Styela clava: one gene and its partners. The protein of the gene in region 4 purifies or fractionates together with the protein of the main gene of each other region. This does not show direct contact. Links are inferred from orthologs where the notes say so. Each region holds a gene or a part of one and is shown on either strand. Other genes may lie near its edges.

Evidence for each region.
Region 1: the proteins of pescadillo homolog (region 4) and ribosome biogenesis protein wdr12-like purify together in Homo sapiens (co-immunoprecipitation; 7 studies listed by BioGRID and IntAct, counting the BioPlex papers as one, with this or other methods). This does not show direct contact. The link is inferred for Styela clava from reciprocal best matches to the Homo sapiens genes PES1 and WDR12.
Region 2: the proteins of pescadillo homolog (region 4) and putative ATP-dependent RNA helicase DDX27 purify together in Homo sapiens (affinity purification with mass spectrometry; 4 studies listed by BioGRID and IntAct, counting the BioPlex papers as one, with this or other methods). This does not show direct contact. The link is inferred for Styela clava from reciprocal best matches to the Homo sapiens genes PES1 and DDX27.
Region 3: the proteins of pescadillo homolog (region 4) and nucleolar complex protein 3 homolog purify together in Homo sapiens (affinity purification with mass spectrometry; 3 studies listed by BioGRID and IntAct, counting the BioPlex papers as one, with this or other methods). This does not show direct contact. The link is inferred for Styela clava from reciprocal best matches to the Homo sapiens genes PES1 and NOC3L.

What each region holds. Positions count from the first base shown.
Region 1 is NC_135261.1:8,153,745-8,161,231, forward strand, and holds the start of ribosome biogenesis protein wdr12-like, read right to left. Parts: upstream 3,003-7,487; 5' UTR 2,988-3,002; coding exon 2,973-2,987; intron 1,262-2,972; coding exon 1-1,261.
Region 2 is NC_135257.1:251,788-259,585, forward strand, and holds putative ATP-dependent RNA helicase DDX27, read right to left. Parts: upstream 3,001-7,798; 5' UTR 2,945-3,000; coding exon 626-2,944; 3' UTR 448-625; downstream 1-447. UniProt on the Homo sapiens protein: Probable ATP-dependent RNA helicase. Component of the nucleolar ribosomal RNA (rRNA) processing machinery that regulates 3' end formation of ribosomal 47S rRNA.
Region 3 is NC_135257.1:7,179,915-7,187,816, forward strand, and holds the start of nucleolar complex protein 3 homolog, read right to left. Parts: upstream 3,009-7,902; 5' UTR 2,364-3,008; coding exon 2,028-2,363; intron 1,829-2,027; coding exon 1,702-1,828; intron 1,547-1,701; coding exon 1,397-1,546; intron 976-1,396; coding exon 740-975; intron 1-739. UniProt on the Homo sapiens protein: May be required for adipogenesis.
Region 4 is NC_135252.1:3,713,520-3,721,174, forward strand, and holds the start of pescadillo homolog, read right to left. Parts: upstream 3,010-7,655; 5' UTR 2,871-3,009; coding exon 2,850-2,870; intron 2,744-2,849; coding exon 2,609-2,743; intron 1,782-2,608; coding exon 1,683-1,781; intron 1,606-1,682; coding exon 1,496-1,605; intron 811-1,495; coding exon 683-810; intron 413-682; coding exon 279-412; intron 1-278. Other genes in the region: uncharacterized protein K12H4.2-like, read left to right, coding at 3,505-4,314; MICAL-like protein 1, read right to left, coding at 6,742-7,655. UniProt on the Homo sapiens protein: Component of the PeBoW complex, which is required for maturation of 28S and 5.8S ribosomal RNAs and formation of the 60S ribosome.

The DNA of each region.
Region 1 (7,487 bases), on a different chromosome or scaffold from region 4:
CATTACTCCAATCCAAACACATAACTTTATCTTGGTGTGCATTCACATCAAAAAGTGGAGTTTGCGGACTTCGTATATCCCATAATTTAACTGTATAATCGAGAGATCCAGACACTAGTTGATATTGATTACTGGGTGACCACTTTACACAGGTGATCCATCCAGTATGTGAAGTTAGATTACATTTAATTAAAGATCCTTTAGAGAATATTTCATCTTTTCCTCGTGGATCCCAAATTCTGATATGCCGATCCGAACTTCCGGTCGCAAGTAGATTACTATGAAAAGAGTAGTCACATGCTAAGAATACTTTTGCTCCACGCAAGTTTAATTTTTCTTTACCCTCATTTATGTCCCAAACATTGATTGTATGATCCCAAGACACACTGCATAAATCGGAAGATGATAACCATACAAGTGATGACACTGCTTCTCGGTGACCTGCTAATGTCGATTTTGGAACTCTAGTAACACCACGCTGCTCTATACGCTGACGTTTTTTCTTGTTTCTTGCTTTTCGAAAATCTTCTGGCTCATTTGAGTCATCTTGTGGAACAGGAGATGTCGACCATAATTTTATTGAACTGTCCCACGAACCGGTAGCAAAGGCTTCCATTTCAGGATGAACTGACACGCAATCAACACTTTTAGAATGCCCCCGGCAGCAAAATAAAGGTTTTATAGTTTCTTCACCTTTTTCCCATTGCCATAAAATGGCACTTTGGTCCTGGGATGAGCTTATCAAATAAGCAGTCTTATCATTATTGACACGATTTACCCATGATACTGCCTTTACAGGTTCTGTATGACCGAAACCATATATACAAGGTTTTGAACTATCCATATTCCAAATTGATACAGTGCAATCATACGATCCTGTCAAAATGAATTCTTTTGTACTTTGTACACTGCTAATCCAATCATCCTGTGTAAATTGATCTTCTGGTTTCGGACTTTCTTGTTTCAAAATGTATTCAATTTCCACAACCTTTTCTGTCGATATACCTTTATTCTCGATGTATTGGTTAAGTGGAATTCTCAAAAACTCTCCATTCACAAGAAAATCAAATTCCATATTTTGATATTCATTTTCATCATCTATCGCATCTTTGACTCCTTCCTTCAAAACTTTATTTACGAGATTTGTTAATTCTGTAACAGTTACTTCTCCCGGCAGTTCAAACATGGTATCTGCAATCTTATATTTCTCATCCTGAGTTACAAGCTTAGCTTGAATATGATCCGCCATATTGTTAGGTATCTTTTAAAACAAAATATTATTAACACATTATTACATAAAGAGTACATGTGAATGAGGCTCTTTGACACACGATTTACGTTCGTTCATTCACTGAATATGCAGAAAAAATGTGAATCACATCATAAAAAATATTGTTTTTTATACAGTGATTTCATGCGTCCACCCCAAACGCTCTATAGATACATTGATATCTGGATATGCAAGACATATTGTTTTATTTCTGGTTCAGCATTGCCAAGCAAATTAATACACCCCAGGCAGCCGGGATAAATGGTGGACAAGAGGCTTGTACCTGTGATCATGAAAATGTGATGTTAACATAGTTAATTACAACGCTTCATCCTTTGCATTAGAATATAATAAGAAACATGAATTATTCAACATTGGCCTATGTCTGTATGTATTACATATAATCGGATGAAGGCAACCAAACCCAAAATAATGGGTCTCGTGTAGTTTCATACCATAACTAACTTGTAAAGATTTTTGGGGTCTGGTATAGTTTAGTACAACATGTACTTCTAGTTGACCTGGCTCAACAATTTTTGCATATGTCAATCCTAACCCCCAACTGACTACGTCACCGAAAAATTACGTCATTTCGACGTCACAGTGGCGTAATAAGGCCCTCCGAAGCCAGTCTGGATTTCAGGGCCTTTTCGAACGAGAAATCGGGCGTGCAATCAGAAATTCCCGCGTGCAAATAAGAATTTCTGGCGTGCAAAACAACTGCGCCCGCTAAACTGATTTCGAACTAAGATGCCTCTCAATACATCCGCGTAAAAATAAGTTGGATCATAGCAAAAATGGACGTTTGACCTTTGACCCCAAAACATCATTTCTATATTTTGTCACTAATTTTGAGAGTGTTTGTGCGACTTTAGATACCGGTACTGTTCAGTACATCCGTGTAAAATTATTGTATTAAAAATGCGCTGAATCAGAGCCATAACTGCCCAGCGTCGGTGAGGAGGCGATTTTTCTCACGGGATTCCTATCATTCAACACGATATGGTGATTTTTGCTTCGCATTTTTCGATCAGGCCAAATCTTGCAAGAAAGTATTAGTCGACAATTGTAAAGTTATAATTTTTTGGCATCTTTATATTACTAGATTATTGATTTAAAAACTATTTAAACCGATTTACATTGGTGAGCAATTGCAAATTTTCGGCGTGCAAAATTGAATTCGCTCGCGTGCATTTTTGTGGAGCGCTAGCGCCCTCGGGCGTGCATCTGCCATGAAATCCAGTCTGGCACCAAAGTACAGAAGTATGTGGATGGTCGTTTAAAACGCGCAGACGATCACCCGAAATCGAGCAAGCAATTTCTCTCGTTTTCTCGCCACAACAATCACTATAGGAGAGAGATCGCCGGCTTTAGCAAGTTCGTTATCGGCGGCGCAGATGTCATTTCGGGCGATCGTAATTATACTTTGGCAATCTCTATGACGTGATGGTGACGCCGTAGTGACGTAATTTTTGGATGGCATAGTCAGGTGGGGGTTAGGAATAGCATATGCAAAATTCGTTATGCTACGCCCACCGGAAGTACTTGTGGTACTAAACTATACTAGACCCCAAAATACTACCGGTACCGTAATTGGTATGCAGGTAATGTACCGGTACGGTACCGGTACCCGGTCATTTATTTTGGTTCTCTGACATAAACAATACAAAAAGTAAACAGACAAAACAAAATGCAGAGATACCTGAGAGACTGGCATAACTTAAAAAGCGTACAATGTACGTGCCCGCCCACCAAAAAAGATGAAAACAAACACAGAAAAACGCGATTTGCAATCGGGCAGTACTTTGAAAGCAATTTAACAAAAACAGCAATTGAAGCAATTGAACAATTGAAGTAAATAATTGAATGCAATAAACTTCTACCTTTTAAATTAAAATAGTGCTTTTCCTACAAAACATGGAATAAACCATTTTGCCTGCCTACGCCTTACGAAAGTCTGCACACGTGCTAGTTGTAGTAGTTCGATTAACTTCAAAGTGACGGACAATGAAAACTAAAATACAGTGGTGTATGGAGTCGAGCATGCTTCTAATGGACGTTTTTGGATACAAAATAGAACTGTGGATTGTTTTGTTCTTGGACACGAAATGGACCTATGGTCATGAATCGTTTTGTTGTTATATCATTTGTTTTGGAATATTCATTGGTTAAAGATTGGGTACTTCTGCAGTATGCGACAGGAGCACCAAAGTTTGTATTTTTCGCTAAAAGGTTATTACTTTTATTTATTTCGAAACTTTTTGTGGGCTCCATGGGATTCGATCAATGCTGAGTTTGTATTTTTCGCTAGAAGGCTATTGCGTTTATTTATTTCCAAAAATTGTATGAAATTTATGATTTGTTTTTGTGTGCGATGAATTCATCAAAATTAAAAATTCCCATCTTGTGGCGGTTCCGCGTTCGTATAACAGCAAAGCGAATTCGTTGAAGACCCCGGTACTTGTAGTCTTTTGTAACCGGTATGTTAGTCGTTGTTTGTAACAGATGGCATAACCGTACTACTTCATGTCCATATATTTGTGCATTGCTCTTTTGTATCTCAACATAGTATAATTTGACAACAAAAAAGTAGAAACTACTGAAAATTTAACAAAAGTATAATTTAGTGTTTAATCTAAACTAAAAACTCGGCTCCACGGTATGATGCATCGCGCTAAGCGTTAGAAATACGCTCGCCACCACTCTAATTATCTTGCGTGGGTTCGAATAAACAAGAGCTGGATATTTCAATGAAATAGAAAATGTCAGATTTACCTGTATCCAGCTCTGTGTAAATATCTCATCCCAACCCCACCGCAATTTAAAAAAAATGACTAACTCAAATTGTACAAGGACAAGAAAATGGCAAAATCATCGCTGTTGAAAGTGGGATTGATAATTACTCCTCATTCTTATTCCTATCTACAAACTAATAACTATACGGCGTCTTAAACACCTATTTGGAAACCCAGCGACAAGCAATTTTTATATCTAATTTGACGAAGTTTATTTAGCGCCGGCCTGGTCTGTTGAAATGGTCGAATCGGTCTCTATATATTCTAACCTGCTTAGAATTAGCTTTCAGTAACCAAACCTGGTTTTATTTTGCACGGGCGGTATCCCCCTGCACCAACTCAAATATTGAAGTCTTGAGTCTGTTCAAGAGTGCTGTACTACTCTCTTGATGAAGTTTAAAGCTGGCCAGAGAAGAAAGGCAACATCTACGAGGCATTGATTATTCGCTGTATAATTAAGGTTTTAAATCTAACCTAAACTAGCAGAATAGTCTAACTTGATTCTCCCCCTGCACCAACTCAAATATTGAAGTCTTGAGTCTGTTCAAGAGTGCTGTACTACTCTCTTGATGAAGTTTAAAGCTGGCCAGAGAAGAAAGGCAACATCTACGAGGCATTGATTATTCGCTGTATAATTAAGGTTTTAAATCTAACCTAAACTAGCAGAATAGTCTAACTTGATTCTTCGCTGCCTATTTTAACATCAATTCCAGCGTATATCTCAAACATCCACAACAACATGGCTTCGATCAATAATACCACCAAACCAAAGCCTAAGCAACGCCTGAGTAGAAGTCTTCCCGATCCAGGCCTTTCACCAATTGGATCTGTATTGCAACAACAGAAGGAACACTCTAACTTCCAGATAAACCTACAGGAGGCAATACAAACAAACATCATGAACCAGTTACCATCCCTAATTGCCAAATGCTTAACAGAAAACTTCAGCTCTGCAAACTTTTCATCAGAATACCTACCAATGAGTCCAGGTCTAAAAGAATGCATGGAGGAACAGATGATATCTCTGAAAGAAATTAAACAAGACCTTGCTTCTATCAGAGAATCACAAAGCTTCCAATCTGAGAAATATGACGAAGTTATTGCAAAGCAAAAAGTTACAGATGAGAAACTTACTCTTTATAGCAAAAAAATACGAGATCTCGAAGAGTTAGTTTACGATCTTGAAGATGAGTTATTTTATGTCACAGAAAAAATAGAAGAACATGAACGTCGATCTAGGATGGATAACCTAGAATTTCATGGCATTCCATCAACCGAAAATGAAGATACTGATGAACTAGTAACACAAATCGGAAAAATTATCCATGTAGACATAAAGCCTTCAGACATCTCCGTAACACACCGCTGTCCAACAAGGAATACCAACATCCATAAACCAATTGTAGCGAAATTCACAAACCGCAAAATCCGAGCCAAGATACTCAAAAATCGAAACTTGATCAAAACCTCTAACAATACAACATCTATAAGAGACTTGTCAAAGGTGTTCGTGGTTGAAAACCTAACCGAAAGAAATAAAAACTTATTTTACCAAGCGAAGGTCCTCAAGAAGCGATGTGGTTACGCCTTTCTGTGGACATCAAATGGCAAGATATTGATTAAAAAGAACAAAGACACGAACACTCTGTCCATAACTGATGAAGACGATCTGGATAAAATAAGATAAGTCCAATGATTTTTCCACTGCTATACTTAAGTAAATTATTAATTCCCCTTATGACCTATTTAAGAACCTTCAGTATCTTTTGGAAAATTTCAAGCTATGACATTCCCCCCATCGCACTAGCCTATTTGATCACAATCTATTACATGTTCTTTAAAATTGTATCCATTATCATCACCTATCTATGACCTAAACAGTGATCCCAACCCAAACTGGGAATCTATCAACTTTCACCCTGAAATTTCTTCTACCCCAAGTCAATATCTTGAAATATCTGATATCAACAGGGTAACGTCAAGTTTTCTACCTTCAGAGTTCATCATTTTGCACCTTAATATTAGATCATTACCTAAATATTCTGATAATTTAGTTGAATTGATTTCCAATTTTTGTACTCCACCTCAAATCATCGCCTTAAGCGAGACCAGGATCATAAGTGACAGTGTTGCGAATGTTAATATCCCTGGGTACACCTTCATACATGCTCCATCCCCAACTCGAGCAGGCGGTGTTGGTTTTTATATTGATAGCAATTTAAATTATCATGCATGCTCTAAACTCGGCTTAGAATTTCCTAACTGCGAAGACATTTGGATTGAATTAAAGAACTTCCAACCAACCTCAAAAATTCAAAATCTTGTTGTTGGTGTAATATATAGGCATCCCAAAAATAATATTCCAGCGTTCACCACAGCAATGTCCTGTCTATTCGAGAAGCTGACAATGGCTAAAAAGCAATTTATAATATTAGGTGATTTCAATTTAAATCTTCTTGATTCTCATAACAATCTCACTACCAAGTATTTAGACATGCTCATGACTAATTTTATATGCCCGCTCATTACCAAACCAACCAGAGTTACCTCGACCTCTCACACCCTTATAGACCATATTTACACCAATACCGTAAATTTCTGCAATTCATCATTTATTTTGCTCAGTGATCTCACTGACCACTTTCCCGTAATGTGCACAATATCAGCAACTACTGGCAATATAAAGACAAACACTCGCATGAAACGTGACATGACTAAATTTTGTGTTGACCTGTTCAGATTGGAGGTTGAGTCGATCTGTAACAATTATACTAGTATTAGCATACATGAGGAAAACTTCAATAGCTCATTCGATCTTTTTCTTAGTCACTTCAAATGGTTGATTAATAAACATGCTCCATTAAGACCATTTTCGCGTAGAGAAAATAAACTTTACTCTAAACCGTGGATTACTAAAGGAATTCGTAAGTCCATCAAACATAAAAACAATATGTTTAGAAAAAAATTCTTAAAGGGAAACTCATCCCAGCGTCTCCACTTCAAAAAATACAAGAACATTTTGACGCACTTGCAGAGAAAATCAAAACAAATGTATTACCATAATATCCTTGAAAACAACAGAGGGGATGTGAAGCACACTTGGAAAACTATCAATGACATTATTAAAGTTAGGTCCAAAAATGAATCCATCGTCTCTGAATTGGAGCTTGAAAATGGTGCCACAGTTTCCGACCCCGCCAGAATATCCGCCGAATTCAATAAATTCTTTTCATCTGTAGGAAAGAAACTTGCTGACAATATTCCACATAGCAAGAAATCTTTCAAAGCTTTCTTGAGTGCTCCCTCACAGCACTCTTTTTTTCTGGAGCAAACGACACCTTCCGAGGTTCACCAAATAATATTGAACCTGAAAAAGGGCAAAGCAGTTGGACATGATGGTATTTCCCCGTTTTTCTTAAAAA
Region 2 (7,798 bases), on a different chromosome or scaffold from region 4:
AGGAATTCAACAAGTCGTAAACGAGCCAATGTGCGTTGTTATAACGAACTTCACGGTTGACTTTACGTTCTACTCTTGTTTACAATTTCACCACCCTGCCCGCCGTGCATGGTATTTGTGCCAAATACAGAATTGGAAGTCAAGCGCAAAAAACATCTCAGCACAAAGACAACGATTTCTCAAATTTGTTCTTTTTGTCTGTTAGCGACCCGTGGTTCCTGCGCAATTCAAGCGATTGATTTAGCGCGCGAGCTTCATATCCAAGCAAAGCTTACATGTATGCTGCGATATGAACAAACGTCACATTTATAAATCTGGGTATAAAACGATAGGTCACTGACGTTGGCATAGGACGTTACAAACTAAATTACAACTTAATATAATTAGACGACCGATATCACCTGTCCCATCCCATTCTTTCAATGCACTCAAAATTTTCGACAAAAATTATAGGTTAGTAATTCGTGATGGCAGCATTTTTTAAAGTTCACTGGAATTGTCATAAAAGGGGAGACTAAAGCATGATATAAATGGAACATATTACCAAGGTATGTCCCAACACAACCAGTTCTCTGCACAATTTATGACACCAGTCCATGTGGGAAGAAACCTTTTCATTTTTTTCTCAATGTCGTTTCAATTTTCCATTAAATTGCTTCTTTCTTTCTTTATATTTTTGCTTGCCTTTAAACCCTTTTCGTTCCTCATAACTTGGACCAGCTCTGAACTTTTTAACTGACCGAGCACTTGTGTCAGTAAGTTCAGATGCAAACGATGACTTGTTTTTGGGTTTCTTGATTTTGGCTGAGGCTGTTTTGACATTTTCTGCACAGGCCCTGGCTCGTTTTTGTTTACGATTTCGTTTTTTCTCTCTCAGTTGAAAAGCTTGTACTTTTTCAAGCTCCCTAGCAGCCCTTTCTTGGGCATTTTTTGGTAGCGGAACAAATTTAGCACCTTTCAGTATTTTCCCTTTTACAAATTTTTTTCCAGGCTTGGCTTCTGAATGTTTTCCAAGTATCTTTTCTGCTTTGATCATCTCTCTTTCAATGCGAGATTGGAACCAGTTTCTCTTTTCAATTTGTTCTTCATTTGGTTTCTTTCCTAAAAGCCGTTGCCCCTTGCTTATCTGGTTTTCAGATTTTATCATTTCTTTTTCTGCGATCTCCATTCTTAAAACTTCACCTACTTCTTCATCCAATTCATCGAGTTTTACTTTGTATTTTTCAATCACTGCTGGAGGAACAAGTCTACTACGCACTGGGTTTTTTGCTTGTTTTACAATTTCCTTCAGCATTTTACGTTCAGTTTCACCAACCAGAGAAACAGATCGTCCTGTTTTTCCAGCTCTTGCAGTTCTTCCTACTCTATGCACATAATGTTTGTGTGTGTTTGGCATTGTAAAATTGATGACAGTTTTAACATTTTCAATATCTAATCCACGTGCAGCAAGATCTGTACAAATTAGAATATCAACTTGAGCATTTTTGAATTTCTGCAAACTTTCCAGCCTCTGAGACTGGTTCAGATCACCATGGAGCTCAGCCACTTTCAGTCCTAATAATCCCAGTACAATATGCATTCTGTGAGCTTGTTTTTTGGTTTGTGTGAATATAAGAACACTGGTTACAAAGGTACGAGAACATAAAGCAGCAACTATGGCTTCCCTGTCACCCTCCTTGTTTGGGCGAATTCGAATAAACTCTTGCCTAAGATATGGTGCAACATCTGTATTGCTATTCACAAATAACTTCATAGGATTTTTCAGTGACACTGATGCAAGTTCATTTACCTTGTCTGTCATTGTGGCAGAAAATAACATAGTTTGTCGCCCAATAGAGCAAAGTCGAATGATTTCAGTCATCTGTTCTGCGAAAAATTCATCCAACATTCTGTCAGCTTCATCTAATATCAAAACTTCAACAGATTCGAGTTGAAAAGATGGTGTGTTGTGAAGATGATCAATCAGACGACCAGGTGTAGCTATAAGTATGTCAGGACCTTGCCTCAAAGCTGCTTCTTGTGTCCTGATATCAAGTCCACCAGCAGCCAGGCATACCTGAACATCCGTAAACTGTGCTATTTGTCGTGTGATTGCATGAACTTGTACAGCCAATTCACGAGTTGGTACAAGACACAGAACTCTTGTTACAGGAGCCACACGAGGTTTGTAGATTAGCCGTTCCAAGACAGGCAACATAAATGCAGCTGTCTTACCAGTTCCTGTAGCAGCACAGGCACAAATATCTTTTCCAAGTAGTGCCACTGGAATTGTGGCCTGTTGAATTGGTGTAGGAACAACATAGTTTAATGCATTTATACCTTTCAACAAGGGCCTAGAAAAATTCATATCCTGAAATGTCAACTTTGGGTTCCATTGTGAGCATGAATTAAAGAATTCTTTGTCTCCCAGAACATCTTCAGTGGATTGTTTAATCTTCTTCATTGACACCATAGCTTTTATTTCTTCATCCAAGTTTATGTCATCGGAATCTTTCAATTTTGTTCTTTTATTTTTTATTCTTATTTTATCAGGTTTCAACATAGTCTCATCTTCTTCGCTCCCTGAACTTAAGTAATCCATAGAATATTCATTCACGTTTTGGGAATTCGATACAATGTTGTCTTTCATGTTATTCTTTGTGGCAAAATGAGCACTTTTTATCAATCGGTTTCTCCTGACTTCTGCAATTTTCTGATCTAATGAAGATCTGCTGATGGCATGTTTAGATTTTGCCATTTCAATTGCCGAGTTGAGTGTCCATCCTACATTCTCTTCTGCATCATCCTCATCAAAAATGAACTTTGAGTTGAAATCATCTTTACCTCGTCTCTTCTGCTGAATCACCTCCTTTGTCAAGACATTTGCCTCTTCTTCACTTTCACTTTCTTCATTTTCAACTTTGACTTCATCATCATCATTGATGGTCTGGATCAAGTCTGACATTTGGCAATAAATCTTATGTTACCTAATTAAAACTGTAAGAATATACATAAATATAGGATCATTATAAAGTTGTAACGAGGGTGTCTGGCACGACAGCAAATGCGCCATGCTTAACTCAACAATAATTCAAATTATTCGATACAGGCCTCAGCCGTCACATAACCAAAATTGCGTTTTTTTCGCTAAAAACCACCGGATGCTATGGTAACAATATTTTACTTTCGGTAAATCTATTTTTTCAGAGGAATAGCCTGCTATGATGGCATTTTAGATTGCGTTCCTTTTAGTTTGTTGCGCAGTGCCAATTTGTCAGTATGGAGGGTGGAGGCCCACACTCTGTCGTACAGAAAAAATTTGCGAATTGCGATCACTGTTATAATTGATGTCTTTTAATATGGCGGCTATTCTTGGAATGGGAATGGGCCATACTACTAAAGGGGTGTGATTTTGATACTAACAGGGCCCCAATGGTAAGAAAAAACACATCGATATTCCCCACTTGACATTTTTATGTGTTTAAGTGACATATTCTGTGTTCTACAAATACAGTCTACAGAAGAAATGTGATGTTAACTGTCATGTTAGCGATAACAGACTTTTTTACAACTGTGCTTTTGTTGCCCCTTTTGAATTTAATGCATAATTTTAAATATATTAAAATATTTAGACATGACATGGCAATCTCAAACTTAATGCTGAAAAGAAAAAATGACAAAAGTACTAAATGGTAGACAAACCATACACAGCAAGGATGATACAGTTATATTTCTACAAATCCCTAACAAGTATCGTAGTGTACACTAGATTTCAATGAAAGGTTCCATTTATGACATTACCGGTATACTGCTATAGCATAATATTACTACTGTACTATGACAGTATGATGGCATAGTCTTTTATAGAAAATACAGCAAGAAGGGAGTAATCCTTGGAATGGATGCTATTCCTGTAACCCAGATATGTTCAAACCACCTCTAATGACCCCCCATGGGTTTGCAGGTTCGAATCCTGTGCGAGAGGTCAGAGGATGCTGGACTCCTTGTGTACAAAAATAGAAGTCCATACTCCAAACTCCATTTTGCATCCATTTTTGGGTTTAACAATTTATCTCAGTTTGTTCCAGCAGTAACAGTTTTCCATAATGAATAAGTTATTTCACCTATATACATATAAATAATATATAAATAAAAAAGAGCTTGGTGCGCATACTTCAGGATTTTAATCAAATTTTATATCGCACTATTGATAACAAAAGAATAATTGCATTCAAATTTACAGTAGTTATACGACTAAATAAAGGATCGTTAAAAGTAAATAATATGCAAAATCATAATTTTATTATAAAATGTATCCCAATTAATTTTAATATAATTAAACAAACAAAATCATAATAAACTTTCTGGGTATATTCACAGGACATGAAAGTATGTGATACGAAGTCAGGTCCGCTATTGCATAATAATATATTACATTTCTTGCTATTCTTTTAATTTCTAGCTTAGTTTTCAAGGGCAAGATATCCCACTGTAATTTATAGTTGAAGGTTTTTAAATAATTTGCCAAAATTTCATTATGAATATTGTTACAAGTTACACTATGATTTGAATTCAGTATAATCACAAGTCTTTTCCCAATACTGCAATAGAGATTTTTTATAATTTCGTCATATATGTTCGCCTATGTTTGCCCATTCTGACTGATATCATACAGATCAAACTATTACTTAAAATCAAATTAAATTAAAATCAATTATACTTTTATAATACTCATGACAGCATGAGGAATACACTATTACGGTAGTTATTAATTACCTAAATAAGCACTTGATTGTTGTCCTATATTATATTCTAGGCAATTTAAATTGATAGTTCTGTCACAAAATATTACATTATTTTCTACTGCGTGTATCAGTATATATATTCAAAAACACACATAATACTGCTGTACTGTAATATAACCTATACAAATTTTTCTACAATTTCATTTACTTTTTTGGCATTGGAAATATTTTGCATAAAAACATAAATTGAGGTAACAACTTGAGTTTTATTATCATATTCCCTCTACTGTTCTAATTAACGTACAGAACGTAAGACTGTACAGCTGTAAGAGGTATTTTTTGAAGATCTGTTATTATTTACTTCAACTCTTTTCAGACAATTACCGGTATTCCAGTTCAACTTTGTAGGAAATACAAAAATAGGCACTGCACTGCGGTTCAATTGCAATCGTCCCATTTGTTTCTCAATTTTGATAAATATTCTTAATCTTCATATATCTGTAGGCTATCGTACCGGTACCGGTATATGCTAACACAGTAACATTATTTTTCCAGTAGGCTATTACCAGTACGGTATCGCCCCTTCTACGTTTTTCCATTTTCGTTTTAATTTCAACCATCCTGCCATCAGTCAGTCAGACTATTCTGCCATTACAGCATTACCGTAATCCTATCCTGGTATCTGATTATCGAGTATGCATCAGTATCAGAATAAATACCGTAGTTGGCTCGCTCGTTTTGGCATAACAATCTCTTCATAAGTTATTCCTAACCCACCATGCCATCCGAAAATCATGTTACTGCGACGTGCGTGGCATAACCTTTGAACCATGGATTGATTAAATCTCATTCTCTGTGCAGGAGACAGCATATTTGCACCCACGTACATTTGCACCCAGACCATTTGCACCTGCATACTTTTGAACCCGCAGACAATTGTACTAACATATTTTAGCACTCGCGTACATATTGCAGCCGGACATTTTCATCCATATACATTTGCACCCACGTAAAACAAATAATTAGCTTATTAATCCCATACCCGACAAGGACTGGTAACCGAACGAGAGGCCGCGGTTCACCTTATAATTATGAAATCATATTATCGGCTTTTCTTTCCCAGGAAGAAATATCCTATCTTATTTGCACACATGGGCGTTTGTAGCCACGCTCATTGTCACCCACTAACATCTGTATTCACGTACAATTGCACCCACGTAGCCTACATTTGCTGACGGAATCACATATTTAAATTTGTGGCTCAACGGGCTAAGCGTTAGGAATACGCTCGCCACCGCACCTCTAATTACTCTGCGTGGGTTCGCAGGTTCGAATCCCATGCAGGGATGGTTATGTGCGAGAGAATTGCTGGACTCCTCGCCGTCGTTGGGTGGTTCACGTAACCGCTGGTCGGTTACGGCTTCCTCCACCACCAAGTCCATGCTTCCGAAAAAAAAAATACAGTAAAAAACTAATCCCATACCCGACTTGGAATGGTAACCGGACGAGAGGCCGTGGTTCGCCATATGGATAAGCCGTCTTATCGGCTTTCCTCTCCCCCGGGATAAATATGTAAATCCTATCCTATCCTAAATCTCCCTATTGTGTGGGTAGAATCGTAAATATGTAAAATCATTTATTGGACATGGAGTGGACCAATGAATGCTCATTGAGTGGACCTATTCATCGTTTCGTTATTATGTTGTTGCTGTTCTTTATGTTAGAATTTTTCTTCCTATCGTTATGAATTTTTTTTTCTTTTTTCTTTAATTACTTTGGCTTTGGAATTTTCAGTGGCTAAAGATTGTATTTTTCGCTAGAAGGATAGGATAGGATTTACATATTTATCCCGGGGAAGAGGAAAGCCGATTAGCCATACCGTCCGGAAAATTCCGGACATGTCCGTAATTTAGGGTTAAATTTTGCGTCCGGGAAGAATTTAAAAAATGCCTAAATGTCCGGAATCCGGAATTTTACTGCATCTGCAATCGTACTGTGCACACTGCTAATACAGAACATTGTTATTCGTACCATGCGCATATTTTTTACTACGAGGTCATGAAAATAGTCATGCACTGTCCGGAATTTTGCTTTTTCAAATACGGTAACCCCAGATTAGACGGCTTAACCATACGGCGAACCACGGCCTCTCGTCCGGTCATCATTCCATGTCGGGTATGGGGTTAGTTAGGTATTTGTTTTTTCGGAAGCATGGACTTGGTGGTAGAGGAAGCCGTAACCGTCCAGCGGTTACGTGAATCACCCTACGGCAGCGAGGAGTCCAGCGATCTTCTCTCCCATAACCATTTAGCATGGGATTCGAACCCACGCAGAGTAATTAGAGGTGCGGTGGCGAGCGTATTCCTAACGCTTAGCACGATGAGCCACACTGCCGCGCCGGATATTACTTTTATTTATTTCAAATATTTCTGTGAGCTCTATGGAATTCGCTTGTTTGTGTGCTATGAGGTCATCAAAAATTGCGCACCTTGTAGCGGTTCCGTAAATGGATATCAGCGGATCTCGTTGTTTAGCGAAAGTGGGAGGTGGAAACTTTCAAAAACTACTAGAAACCTTGCCAAAACGTGTGAAACGCGCATAAACCCGTCAAAAACCTCTAGAAATCTTGCCGAAACGTGCAAAAACCGCCAAAAACCGTCAAAAGCCGCTAAAAACCTTGCCAAAACGTGGAAACATGAGCAAAAAATGTTTGTTACAATGGAAGCATGCCATTGCTATCACGCAGGACGAAGTCTTAAACAAGTATTATTCTCACCATCATGCTTGATAAATCGCATTTCCATTCTATGCTTAACATAATACATGGACAATGTCAAGTCAATGGTTATACGTATACTTGAATGCGTTTTCTGGAGATTTTTGTTGACTTTTGACTGTTTCTGCGCGTTTTGGTGGTTTATTTTTTGACAGTGTTGCGCGTACTAACGAGAAACAGTGAAAAACCGTCAAAAACCACTAGAAACTTTGCCAAAACGTGCAAAAACAGTGAAAACCGTCAAAAACCACTAGAAATTTTGCCAAAACGTGCAAAATCAGTGAAAAACCGTAAAAAC
Region 3 (7,902 bases), on a different chromosome or scaffold from region 4:
ATGAAGCCAATGATGGCAGAGGGATTGGCATGCCGGATTGCAGTCATTACAAACATTTTAAGATGTGGGAATTGTTAGTGGATAATATAAATCTGAGAGTGTCAATAAACATATGTCAATCAAAAAAATAGAAAAGATATTGTTAATACCAGAAAGAGCTATGAGCCTTTTGAACATGTAAATTGCTAGCATAGAAGACTCTTCTACATGCAATTAGCAACACCATCAAATACCACATCAAAAGAAATATGTTTTTGAGCTATTTTATGTATGGCATACGTCACTAGGTATATGTCCTTATCCTATCTCAGCTATAATTTTCAGTTAAAATATAAATTACGGTAGTTGAATTAATGAATACAAAAACTTTATGTTCATGCATTACAAACTGGACTAGAATATTGACGACAAGTCAAGCACAATTACGACTAAGCTTTACAGATAGGGGAATCCACAATTTTACTTTAGTTCTACATGTTTATTAACAGCATGCATTCCTGTATAAGCATATAGTATTGAAACTGTAACTATACATTTGGAATGGGAGCTCCAGAAGTATGTACACCACGATGGCGCACATCCTGAACATAGTATTTATACCAGGTTAGGGTTCAGGTTGTGCGCCATGTTGGTGCACATACTTCGGGAGCGCCTTGAAATGAACATAATAAAATTATCTAACATTGACCACAATACCTATATAAACCAATCCCAGTCCTCTTTATAATACAATACTTACTTTGATTGTTGCCAAAGATGCCTCTCCTGATTTATCACTTCGGAAAATACTTCTCACAGAATTACAACACATTTCTGATATTTGTTTATTGCTAGAATTTGTTAGAGGCACAAGAACCATAACGATATTGTTATGAAAGTTGAAATGTGTTGTCTTTTCATACAATTCACAAAGAGATTTGACTGCCAAGAAAGTCAATTCTTTTTTCTCTTCTCCAGAAAGAATAGGATTTTTCTCTGAATAACATTGCATAAGTGTTTAATAATAACATAAGCATATATGAATATCACAAGTTAGAGCCGTATGTACATCTGCTAAAGCTGGAAAGTATTTCCACCTTTTCTGCAGATAAGGCAATGCCAATATTTAATTGGATAACCAAGGAGCAAGAAGAAATGGATTACCGTGTTTTATGAACCATATTATAAAGGCCATCATCATTCACAAAGGACGCACCAGACTACACAGACACAGTTTTCAAAGCAATGACGGTACAAAAAAGCACTACCTGATCCATACATTAGGCGCACCGGCTTACATGACGCACAATCGATTTTGGAGATAAAATAGAATTGAAAGTGCCTCTTATCGCCCGTAAAATACGGTAATACCAATGTAAAATACATGGCCTATTATGACTAGTAATAAATTTCTAACCATTCTTTTCTTTTTTTAAAACTTTTTCCAAGCTCTCTAAAAAACTTCTATAGTGTCTCAGTAACCCTTCTTCAAAGTCCACCAATGTTCGAACTTCTTTGCTTAATTTCACAGACTTTTCATCTTCGGTTCTTTCCCTGATTCGATAACCTACAAAATTTCACACAAAAGAACGTTTCATAAGATTATCATCATTTAGAGAATTTCCTAAAATAATATGTTTAAAATATCTACACCTATAGATAAAACAACTAGCGTATATACTATGTGACAGATTTTAAAGTTGTTTCAATCATATACCATACCTGGTATAATGTCAGTGAAGACACAGGCCATTGATGCCATAGCTAATTTACGAATAATAAAACAGGTCTCCATTGGTTTTTCTGTCCACATCATGTTTTGAAGTTTCTTCAGAATGCTGAAGTGAATCTGAAAACAATATTAACTAAAAATTGTTTTTCCAATTTGAAGGGAAACAGACAGAGTATTTGTCGACATATTGAATTATGGTAGTTTATGACTAAATAGTTCATAATCCTAAACAGTTTAGATCAAGTAATCAAGAAAAAAGTAATCAAGAAAATTACAGTGTGTATATACATATATACGGTATATATAAATATAATACCTGGGGTTCATTGACTATGTTTGAACACATTTTAGCAATCTGCATCTTTATTTGTTGAACATTTAATTTGGGTTTCTCTTCAGGTTTATCCATGACTTCATCATCTTGATGATCACCTTCAATTACACCATTCTCCACCACATCATCTACATAGTACTCTTCATACTGCTTAATCACAGCCCCAGAAATATCCTTGATTGGCAATAAATGCTTTATCTTTTTAGACGAATCTTCTTTTACATAAGATGTTGATATCCTTGCCACCTTCTCATACTGCGGCACGTTTTCAGAAAGGCGCCGCTTTCGTCTTCTGTCTGCTTTGGATGCCAGTACCATTTTAAATCTGATACAGCCTATATTTGTTTTCTAGTCACAAATGCTTAACAGGTAAGAACAATATTTGCATTTATTATTCATGTTATCAATCTTTGGACAAAAATCACAGGAACAAGGTTGTTTTTCTCCGCAATATAACAATGAACCATGCAAACTAGAGCGATTTCATACTTTAGCTTCAATTTATGGTACTTAATAAAAAGCACAATTGATGGAACTTCTTTGTGTAAAAATTGATTTCACATTATAATATATCAACTCCAGACGAATGCCCAACAATAAAATATACCCGGAAGACCAGAATAACAAACTATTCCATTATTAACTGAACACCCATGAATTTCATATTGCAATGTATAAAATTAGCTAACAATCACAGAGAAATCAAATACAATATAGGGATATTGAACAGTGAACATCCACTCATATTTATAAATAACTTGTAATATTGCAAAAATGATATTGTTCAAACTAATAAAACCATAGTTTGAAATACAAGGTTCAGATTTTCAACAATCCCAGAAACCATGATCACATATAGAGAGAAATTCAAATCACAAATCCATTGCCAACAACTCTTATATACCTTAACTCTTTACTATTGAGGTCAATTTCATTAAATTTTAATAATTCTCATTCAATATCAATATATTAAATTTCTTGAAATACCTAGTTTGGGGTATTTATTTGTTTTGGGAAGGAAAGTTTGAACATGGGAAACCCATCTAGCCAAATTTCTATATGTTTTATTAATTTCTTGGTATGAGAGTCGAGACACAAATTCATGTACTGAATATAGCAATAGAACATCTGCTACAGAAAGCATGTTTCCTGCAATATATGTATTCTGGCATAAATGGTTTTCAATTTTCGTTATGAAGTCATTAAAAAGGAGAGACTTTGAAGCTTCTGTTCTCAATTCGAGCCACTGCCATACAATTGCATGAACTTCGGGATTTGTGCCTGTCAAATCATTTTTCTTCCATAGATCAGAGAGATACCAAGCAAGGGTTGCATAACCAGAAAGTTTACATTCATCACACGTTGGTATATTACTTTTATCCAGTTTTAACTTTAACTTTTTTCCACCAAGGAAACTGTTGAATGCTGAAAGCTCCTCAAGTAGATCAGACGGTTGCGGCATATTTGTAGATTTGATATCAACCTTCTACTAGAACAGTTTATAATTTTTTCAGCTTTTTATTTAGTTAGTGCTAAAGTCAGAAAGTACGGTACGGTACCAGTTTAAACTAAAAATTTAGATAACGTTATATGACTATAACTGTATAAATTTCATTACGGTATTATTTTTAAACAACTCTCAAACTCCAGAACTCTCAAGAAAGTCATTAACTCAACTGTATAAATTTCATTACGGTATTATTTTTAAACAACTCTCAAACTCCAGAACTCTCAAGAAAGTCATTAACTCAAAGTCCCAAACCGCTTATTCCATCTGGAAAACTACCGCTACGAGGTCCAAAACGTCTGAAAACTAATAAATATCCGTGGATAAACCTATAAATTTTTGTGTAAACGTGTAATCCTGACTATGGTACTCAAATTATTCGGGAATCCTGAAAACACATGCGATGTTTTTCTGACCCTTGACCCCCTGAAATTCTCCATAAAACCGGCACTTGAGTATGGACCACACCTCAATGGTATGGACCAGGGGTCTCAAACTCAATTTACCTGAGGGCCACTGAGACAGAGTCTGAGTGAGTCCGGGCCGCATCAGGTTTTCCACAATAAACGGTTAGCTTAGAAATAGTAAATCTTCTAAAAGTTCTTTATTTTTTATTCTTGCAAAATAAGTCAAAAACATAAATGTAAGTAGTTCCGCGATGGACCTTCCCCCAAGCATCGACTTCCTTGCTTATTCCGTAACATTGGCTAATCAGCAAGACCAAACTGACGTAACAATAGACGTTTTCGCAACCACTTATTAGACACTTTTGTCATTCAAAAAGATTTTCAAGCATGTTTGTAAACATTACCGCGTTTTTGCATGCTATTTGTTAGTTTTTGGTTGCATTTCGAAAATTTAAGTATGAATCAAAGAACTCAATGATCATTCTGTCTGCTTTGGAGTCGTAGCTTATTTGCAGTAATCAAAAATTAGTTTAGAAATAGCTGTGATAGACTAGGCTAAACTTCTCTACGGGTAGCCTACTATTGAAAAACAGGTTGTTGAATGTTGTGAATCAAAATGATGATGTGAAACATATACCCCAACTCGCGAAGCCAACTCTAAAATGAGCACCAAAAAATTTGCAATGGTAAAGTATAGATAAAATTTTCTCGGGGTCGAAGGTCGGTGAAAGCAATGACATTAAACAATTTTAATGTCATTGGTTTGAAACACATACCCCATTTTACTGGCGCCAACTCGCAAAAGCATTCTTAAAAATAGCCCCGAAATTTTTGCAATGGTAAGGTATAGGAAGAATTTTTCTGGGGACAAAGGTCGGGGAAAGGTCCACTGCAAAATTTTTGTACTTATGCATGTTTCCCAGATCATCCCAGAAACATGCATGATTGAGTTGCATGTTGTCATTACGTCTTCAAATGAAATGTACATATATCCATGCCTTTGTCAGGAATGAACAGGATAACCGACAACGTAAGTAAACGCTTTCTATGCGAGAACAGCATAGCCTTAAGATGGCACTACAAGGCAATAATTTCCGGCCCTCATAAATCTTTGAAAAATCAATCATTTTCATTTCGAAATTATTGAATGATTGCCATAATAAGACTGAAGTGATAAGTCAATTATTAAAGCAATTATCTCAAACAGACAGAGCACATGCTCAACATATTATCAAGGACAAACTGTCCTTTTACAGCTGAGTGAACTTTATTTATACAAGTGACCAGTGAGGCATGCAATGAAAAAATGACAAGACAGTAATGATTACTGTAAACAAATACATAAAGTTCATGGAAAACTATTGAACTATCATGAAGTCATCATGCTTTCATTAGTTAAATTGATGTCATCGTAGCTATTAGGTTCTTTCAGCTGCTTTTATGATGTCATAGTGCTTTCTGAAATTACTCTCCCTCTTCCACAGGAAAATCGGACGTTTCATATCACTTGAAAGAAATCTTTTCGAATAGATAACAGAGCACATTGCTTCTATACAATGTGATGATAAAGTGTGGTGAATCTTTTAATGGGGAGAAGTACTATGAAGAGGTATGCTTGCTGTCGAAATAAATCAAGGAAGAGAAGTTGGCGTCGCTTGAGTCAGCACAGAAGCAGTAAACAAGCAGGATTGAGTGAAAAGCTAAAATTACTGCCTAGTAATGATACTGTAACTCGACGCATTGAATATGAATGTAACGACCAAAGTAATCAGCTTCTTCGTAAGTCAAAATTTTTTTGTTTGTTTCACTGTCGCATCCGATACCCCCAGACTTAAGATTCGCGAGAAATATCTCACTTTGCGGGAATTCATGTCTCAAAAAGGAACAGATATATTTCGTGAATTTCAGGTTACTTTATCAGAGAATTACCGTTGTATTTTTCGCATCTCGCGTTTAATGTCTCTTTAAATTATATTCTTTCGTGACGGATATTACTTGAAAGCAAACCAGACACTGCGTGGTGGGCAAGGAAATACGTTTCCGCCTTGTTATCATTATTTCACCTTTCCTGTGACACTCATTTTATTACGAATTGTTATATAAATTTGAGTATTTTAAAAACTTACAGCGTGAGAAAACTTAGTCCATCGTCAAATAACAACCAAGTCCGTCTAAGTTGGTATTTCGGAACTAGCTAACTAAATACTGGATTGCGCGGCCTTGAGTCGACTCTGTGTTTCGTCACTACTGTCACATGGCCCACGCTTGAAAACAGGGCCGTGTTTTTTACTAAAAAAAGGCACAAAACCTTAGAAAAGGGGGTTTGAATCTCGAGATCCCAACCCCAGTTGGAATAGCTAAAAATCTCAAACACGTTAGGCTATCAGATACAAATATAGCTAAAATTGTTCTGTGGGCCGCACGGAAAGTATCAGCATGACGGCTTTGGGCCACCCTGGTCTACCTTATCAAATACCTCCCGACTTTGCTGACCACTAGACCGTTGAAATGCGATCGCGGATTAATTCATTGGTCCACTTTTTTTTTAAACAAAAATGCAGCAACAAGGAGAATACTAGGAAGAAAAATAGAACAACAATTTAAGAAAACGACTCATAGGCCCATTTCGTGTCCAATAAATAAGTTTCAGTATTTTTTTTTAATAAAGAAGGTTAATATTATACTTGAAGACGAAAGAAAAGCAAACATTTTGAACTTTGAGTCGTCTGGTGAACTCGTAATATTTTAATAAACACCGACAAACTATACAGAATTTTGCTATAAAATTTCTGTGGTGCCCCTCTTTTCTGGGTGCCCTAAGCACGTGCTTACATTGATGATTGTTCAATGGTTAATCCGGCGCTGCTGGTATCCGATTGTCCAGTTCAGGAAATGATGATAGAAAAAGAGATGGCATTAGGAACACTGCGTATGACTGTGCAACACCACCAAAAAACATGGCAATACCGAGAAAAAAGAATGCCTTCGAGTAGATAGCATTCCATACTGCTACCAATCGGCTTCCGTATGTCATAGTATTGAGTGAGTTTGCATTAGAAAAAAATATTTTTTTCTGGGATCGACTAGGTGGAGATGGTGGATTATTGTCGCAGTAAAATACAAGCACAAGCGCGAGAAAAACGGCGACACCAAAAAATCCGTGTGTAGCTGTAAACAAGATTGTTACCGGAAAAAAACTCAGTTCCTTTTTCAGTAGCAGAAACGACCTTTGGGTGGCGTATGGGTATATCAGTGAGCTGATTATGCCAGCCAAAGTCTTAACAAACACAGGAAGTACAAAAGCCGTCGCAGTTTCATTCGAGGGAACCATGCAGCTGCTAAGAGAACTTGCGCCGTGCGGGTCACACCGTTGATACAAGACATTGTGATTTGTCCTACAGCGGTGACGTAGAATAATTGTCTGAAAAGCAATAAAATGCATTTACACAATGTATTACAAATGTTGGATTCGAATAAATCTCTAAATACAGCCACAAAGTAGTGAGTTTGGAAGGACCGAGATTTTTAAGTTACTTTTAAGCTTGTGTCGACTGCTTGAACGTACACGGTTCAATCTAGAATTCTATCCGACGTCAAAGTCAATATATCATGATACCTGATATTTTACACTCAAATGTTCGTTTCACAGAGTGCACAGAGTGCATATTAAGCCGCCACTTGAGAGCATATTTGATTTCCAGGTTAGCTACACGGGATGTGTACTGCCATTCAAGTGCAAAGAATTGTTCTTTTAATAATCGGTTAAAATGAAAAATGATGATAAATGTGTCAAAAATAATGCAAACTTTTGGTGTAAAAATCTGATAAAATACATATTATATCATTCAGACATCAGTGTCTCATTGCTAGTGAAACTGTAGCACGAATGGTCTAGACCAGTGGTCGGCAACCTTTTTCAAGTGACGGACCGGTAAAGCTTGAC
Region 4 (7,655 bases):
TACCATAATAAATGAAGCTAGAGCCAGAGCTTCATAAAATTTCAGTGGTTCCAGCTCCTAACCATCTAATTATTTTTTACTCCAGGATAAAAAATCTATCCTTTTCAGATTGTTTTTATTAATTCAATTTCTAATATTAATACTAGTACTATTTTAGGTAAAATTTTATATTCGAGTTTAATTTTGTGATTTAAAACCCTTGTATCATAATTTTGAGTCAGGAATCTGCAAAACTGCATTCGGGATGATGTTATGTTGTAGTGGTCATATTAACTTACATGATGTGAAAAATTATGTGGTGTAATCCATGTCACTGACTGTCCCATTATCTCAGATTGAAAATATATTCCTTTGATTGAAATAAAGACTTTTCTCAGAGCTTTTGCTTCAATCACATAATGCATGAATTCCACTATAAGAAAAAATATTAATAAATCTAAACATGAGTATTATCTAATTAATATATACAAAAAAGTAGAAAAATAAAGGATGGCATGAGAAAATATACTAATTCTATAAGCCTATCCATAATGTTTGTCAAGCATAAATTACATATTGAACATCAAACACCCCTAGTTCAAACAAGATTCATGAAAGAAATATTTTACTTAAAATCCATGTAATCAAAATAAGCTCATTTTGCAAAGCCTTTTAATCGGGCTGTGTTCAAAAACAAAATTACCTGTAAGCCTTCTACAAAGCTGAACTGTTTCAGAATGAATACTGTGTGATTTTGGTAGATTAGAAAACAAGAAACACATGCACAGAGCATCGTCCAAATCTTGGATAGCTCCTGTAAATGTTGGATATCTGAAAAATATCAATACACCCCTGTCACCAGCACTGTCATAGGAGACAAGTTAATCTAACCTACCTACCGGTATATTGTATAACTCAAGACTGTGTGGGCACCATGTTCTAATGCAGTGGTTCCAAACTGCTGGTCTGCAGACCAGAACGAGCAAATTTCACTTTTCTCTCTCAGTGCAATCGCTTGGTCATAAAAAACATGCAGTTGCATTGCATTATTAGGCGAATTTTTCGGTAAGTGTGGTATTAGCCCCGTGAGTTTCACTCAGTCAAGAACAATAAAACAGCAAATGCAAGAAAAAAGGACACTCATTAAAATGAGACCTCGTTCATGTTTTTCCTATTTTAGTTCCATGCTTTGTGTCAGTCATTTCAATATTTGTTGCCGGTCCGCGAGGTCATTTCATAAGATGTCATCAGTCTGCCAAGTTGAAAAGGTTAGGAACCGCTGACCTAGAGTGTTAGAACTATTTTGACGTAGCAGTTCATCTCTGGTCCAAAACCTCACCAAAGGTGTAATAAAATTGACTGACTTATGAGGGCTCAGGAAATACAAACTAGTTTCTTAAGTAGCAAAGATTTGATAACACTCTATAAAAAGTGAGTGAGATGCTAATTCCAACAAAAATAAAAGCCAAAATTAAAATGACGAGTATTTCAGTAATGCTTATGGAAATATTGTTACCTTTCCCTCACAATGTGATCAATCTTGTAAGTTGGTTTATTTTCTCTCAAGTATGCTGCTCTCGATTTTTCATCCTTTGCCGTTGCTTTTTTCAACTTTTTTATATAAGTCTAAAAAGAGACCAAACACTTACAGCGCTAGTAATTTTAAAATAAATCTGATATAAAAAAGGTTAACCAAGACTTACTTTATGTTCACGAAATTTGCTTATAACAGGTTCGTGTGCCAGAAATTGAATGTCTTTCAAGAAGTAGAATGTACGATTTGCAGTGCTTCCTTTATTCACCTTAAAATAGAATTAGTATAAAAATAATATACAAATTTACAACCCATCAGAAATCCTGTATGATACAAATTTACCTTCATTTCATTTCAATTTTCTAACTCAACTATTGACCACATATAAATAGCTAACAAAAAATTCTCAGAATAAATTGGCTGCAGTCACATCACAAATATCAGAAGCAGAACTGGCAAACAACCTATATCATCATTGAAGGGTATATGTCAAGTGAGTGTAAACTTCAATACAAAAGCATCAGATACAAATAACTGGGTGGAACCAGGACAGCAACTTTCATTTAACATAAACTTTCTAGAGCAGGAACAAACACCAATAATTTTACTTTACCGCAGGGGTGTGCAACCTGCGGCCCTCAAGTAAAAATTGGAGAAGTGCCAATTTTGAATGATGTGTTTAATTTAATTCGGTATGTGCGAGAATTTTCAATCCCTCTGCGATGCGAAGATATCAGTGTCTTAGCAGCTGGTTTGTCGCATGTCGTCTCGACGCATGTCACAAGATCCAATAACCAAAATTTTTGTGCCCACGCAACTACTAGATAGTCTATGTTAAAAAAAGGTGTGGCCCGCCGTTTCAGTCAGTTATTTCTATCTGTCCCTCCTCTATAGATGAGTCAGTTGATTATAATTGAATAGTATAAAACAAGAATGTGACCTTATATTACTAAAGCTCATATATCAACGATTGTATCATTGTGACAAAAACATTTATCAATAACTGCAAAAAATACCATATTCAGATAATCTGGCGTCAATAAATTATAATCAACTATTGAAATTCTTTAGATGCTTGACAAAACAAAAATTCACCTTCTTTTTATGTGCTGGTTCATGAGGATAAATGCCCTTTAGAATACAAATTCGTCGAAAGTTGGCCAAACTGAGCTGAAGTCTCTTGCAAGCATGCTTTCGAGTTATGTATTGCGTTGCAGCTCCGGCTTCATGCTAAACAGATAACATAGTTTCACAGTGAATATGAGTGCTTGGTATATAAAAGTAAAAAGATAAGTCAAAAAATTATGTAATAATTATATAAATTATACATAAATACCTTCTTTTTTATTCTTCCCATGTCAGATAAGATGTTTGGTAGCAATAGATCACAGCGACGTTATTCCAAATCTCTACCAAAACGTGGATCTATCATAGAGGAGTCATACATCGGTGTTTCCCCTCTTATTCAGCACGTGGTTTGTGATCTGAAGCGTGAAATAAGGTTTGTCGTCAATGAATATTAAAAAGAAGAAGCGTTTATTGATTTCTAGTGTTATTCGTACTTTTCATAAAATTTAAATTGTCATTCCATATTTTATTCGATCTCATTAGTTTTTATTTCTTGACAGTTGTGGGACTCTCTAGCGGGACTTGTGGGCCGACTTGAACTGGTGAACACATTTTCCCTCAAGTTATTTGTTGTGTAGCAAATGGCTTCTATTGTGCATGGGAGGTCGGTGTTGAGGTTCGAAATCAAAGTTCCCATGAAAAACGCTAAACATGCGTTGATTGCAAAGAATACTCTGATTGTAGACGTTGAGCCTCGAAGGCAATTGGTGGATAAAGTGATTGAAGTAAACAATAATTTACTCTGCGTATACTGGACCGCAGCTGAGGCGCGACTTTTACGAGTATCTGTGAATTCCTTATTGAATAATCTTCGGCTCATTGTTGACACAATTGAGGGGTTTAGCATAGACTAATTTGCTATTATGTCGACGATGTTTATTCGGAATATTTTGAAGCGCTTTCAGCCCCTCAGGAGTGGACGCTTCATTTGTCATTCATGTGAACTATGCAGCCCCACTTACAATCAATGTAATTCTACTGCCTATTATTCTCGTTCTCATGAGACTAGTGAAAACTTGGAAAGTCCACCAACATCTGGTTCAACAGTCTCGTGGGATACTATAAGACGACAAGATAAATCAGACTTTCTATCAAAAAAACGGGGGGTACTCGATCTAGATGAGGTCATTCAGTTTTTAAACGAGGAAGGCTCATTGGACATCGTTGTAATTGAAGTTCCCAAAAAAATGTGCTATGTTGACCACTTTATTATATGCACTGCAACGTCGGCAAGGCATGTTGCAAGCATTGCTGAAATGGCAAACAAGTTGTATAAGTCGAAACGAAGGGGTATGCAACCTTTCACACTTATTGAAGGAAAAAGAATTAGTGATGATTGGCAGTGCATAGACATGGGAAATATGGTGATTCATATAATGCTTGAAGACACTCGTGAAAAGTATAACCTCGAAAAGTTATGGACTCTGGGTCATAAATATGATGACTTGATGAATGAGAAGCCTTCGGACGAAGAGATCATGAAAAGATTATCAATGGATGGTCTAAATTTAATGTCTATGAATGAAGATACTGTTAAAGCTTTGGGAAACCTTGAAGACCTCAACCCATGGGATAATCCACCAGAAGACTTTTTTGATATGTCATCAAAATCTGACAAGAATGAGTCAAATGTGGATGACACACTCGAGGATGACGATGCTTTCTTAGTTTAATGAGGAGAGTAGACAACAATCATTAGATGATATATCTCAATGTAGATATAATTTTTTTAACCAAGAAGAAAATGCACTCAAATGAACCTTTACCCCAAATGTTTTCCTGTTTCACTTTGTTGAACACAAGCTACTGTCGTTACAAATGAATGGGAAGATTTTTAGAATCTTGGCTTTTACACATTGTACTAGAACCACACTTCTCACTATCAATAACCATACCCACTGATGTGAAACCTTATTGAGACTGTTCAATCTAAAATGATGAATTTGATTTTGTGTGCTGGTCTACTCGAAAACATTCATAAAGCTCTTTTCATTCCGAGTAAATGCTTCAATTCCACAAGCACTCAGCAAAAATATGATTGAGCATTCAGACCAGACCTACAGGACGTGTGGGCCTTGAGGTGATTTAAATAACTTATGCATATAAAATATGTAAGAGGGTGGGGCCAAAGACCAATTATAAGTCAATTCTATATAAATTCATTTAATTCTAAATGCTCAATTGACATCCAAGTTGGCCACTTTCGTCGATTTTGGCACTACGATTCTTTGTTACAACATACTAGCTCGTGCGCTTTAAGGGACAAATGTATGACAGCGTATGCAATAGAGATGTTCGGTTCCAGCATTTTTCAACATAACAACAATGACTGAAAAAAAAGATACAACATCCCAACAAAAGATGGTTGTGTCGAATTGATCATGTGTTACACTGTTTACACATTACGAACAATATGACACGATACAAGTTATATGGTGATAATGATAACTTGCGTCCTGCAAACAATTGTTTCGTCTGTTGCAGCCCTTTCTTTTATTTGAGTTATGCAGGCCTGATTTTGACGAACAAAAAATATAGTTCACTGGCAAACTTGAATGTAACTTAAATCATTGGTCAAAAACATTTTTATAAATCAAGACTATGTGTATGGCCAAATCGTCAAAGGTAATGTGTGCATAACTTGCCTATGTTACCATTCTGTATTGATTTTTTTTATTTAATAAATATTTACAAACGAGTCTGAAATAAGTGAATTTTTGGCTTAGGACTGTAATTCACGAAAGGTGGATTGAATCGATAAAAAAGGCTAAGTTTCCTTCAAAGCCTTCCATCATGTTGAAGTCACAAGTATTTTTGGCTCAATTCACATCATCATCTGAGATTAGAGCCAAGTTACAAAGATTCCAACCTTCAGCTAAACCCGACAAATTATGAAAAGCAAACACAAAGTCTTATTGTCCTCATAATACATCTTTCATGGGCTTTCTGCTTGCTACCTAATTGTAAATGTCCATAATATGCAACAAAAGATTTTTGTTATGATATATAATGTAGATATACATAGTTAAAACTTTGCTTAGCATATGTAATGATATAGAGAAAATTGGTGAAATGCATACAATCAAGCAGTAATAGGGCAAGCGAGTCAGCAATATAGAAATAAGAATAGTGAGCTCTGATCTGCTAAAACATAAATTTAAAAAAATGGCTGTCAGGCATTGAAACACTGTTAATAAACACTTGTGCAGATTCTGTGGACCAGCCACAGGTTTGGCAACTGTATTGTATGGTTTGAACTTTCAAATGCTAATTCTATTTGCAGTGTAATATTCAACTGCAGTCTCAGGACTTATTTACAAAAGCGATGGCATCAAAAAGTTCAGCTCAATAAAATCAAATGTTATAACTCCTAATTATCTGAAAAATTCAACCAATTAACGGCTTATCCTAAAAATCGAAGCATTAAAATTATGGTATCTTAAGGATTGTCAACTAAAACTGATTGCTGTGCAATATTTCAACACCAAAAGACAGATTGCACGGAAAATAATTACTGTCATGAATCTGGTGCAATGCTAATAAGGGTATTCGGACTATAGCCATTGGTGTAGGTATGACAATGATAGTACATATAATACATATATGTCCCTTTTATAAATGCATGAAAATGTCAATTATTGGTGTTCTAAATAATGATGAAATGTGCAATACTAAATAAAAATTTATGTATATAAGCAACACATACGAAATGCGTATGGTTAGTACTATTTATCCTCATTTTTGGCCGAATTTAACAGACAGTGATTGTATTGGACATACAAAATTATCCATTTCTATGATTGCTCTAGCAAACAAATTTGTTTTATGAGTCAATGTCATTAAAGATAATATTTGTATCTTAAATCTTCACAATTCCAAATATAGAAAGTATTTATATATACAATGTTTAGAAGTCGTAGGGGTGAGTTGCCAGTCAATGATATGATTTATAGGGATACTTAATTTCATTTAGCTCATAAAAATATTAGTGAATCATGTATGAGTCATGTATATTTATATATCTATGTAACGGAGGATGTGTTTTAGGTAGAAAACAATCATTCCTTATGATAAAATCAGTAACATAGTTTTTATTGCGTTCACTTTGTCTTAGCAGTATTTTCTTTGTCTGTTTTGCCTTTCTTGCTGAACATCTTCTTGACTTTATTCTTCTTTTTCTTTTTGCTTGGATTCTGTTGTAACCTTTTCATTTTTTCATACGCTGAATCTTCCTCTGCCTCTTTCACGCGTTCTTCTTCAATGGAATTAACAATTACATTCCTCCGTTCAACAACCTCAAGAAGTTTTTGCAGCAGATTTTCTTCATCGATTTTATCTTGATCAGTTTTAGTAGACTCCGGTTTGTTAAAAAGCTTCCGCAATTGAAATTCAATATCTGCATGCTCCTGTTCATGTTTTTGTTGTTGCATCTGAAACACAAGGTCAGACTCTTGCCTGAGCAATTGATTTTTCTTATTAACCAGTTGAAACCACTCCTGCAGCAACTCATCTTCTTCTGATGTCCACTCACATTCACTATCCATTGCAAACCGCAACATTTCTTCTAATTTTACACCCTTTGTTTCATAATCAGTTAATTGAACATCGAGTAACTTCAATTCGTTAGCAATCTCTTGTTCCGACATTTTTATTTCTACTTTTCGCTTAACAAGTGGATATCCATACCCAGGTGCTGAACGGGCCTTGGGGCTTTTGTGCATGGCTCTAGCTTTTGAAGACGACTGTGGCTTGGTACTATTTTTAGTATAGCGTGGATCTTTTTCATTAGCCTTATTCAATTCAACCATTTTCTGACTTGATGTATCCTTCCATCCTGGTGGCCTAGATGGGGCAGCTGTTTTTTTGTGTGGTGATTGTGTTGATAGAAGAGCTGAAGTTGATTTTGGTGGTGCTGGAGCTGGCCGTTTCTTCTTTACTACTATCTTGTCATCAAGTTTTGCAGAATTCTTATAAACTTCAGTATTAAAAGGGTTGACTCTATCAACAGCTTTAT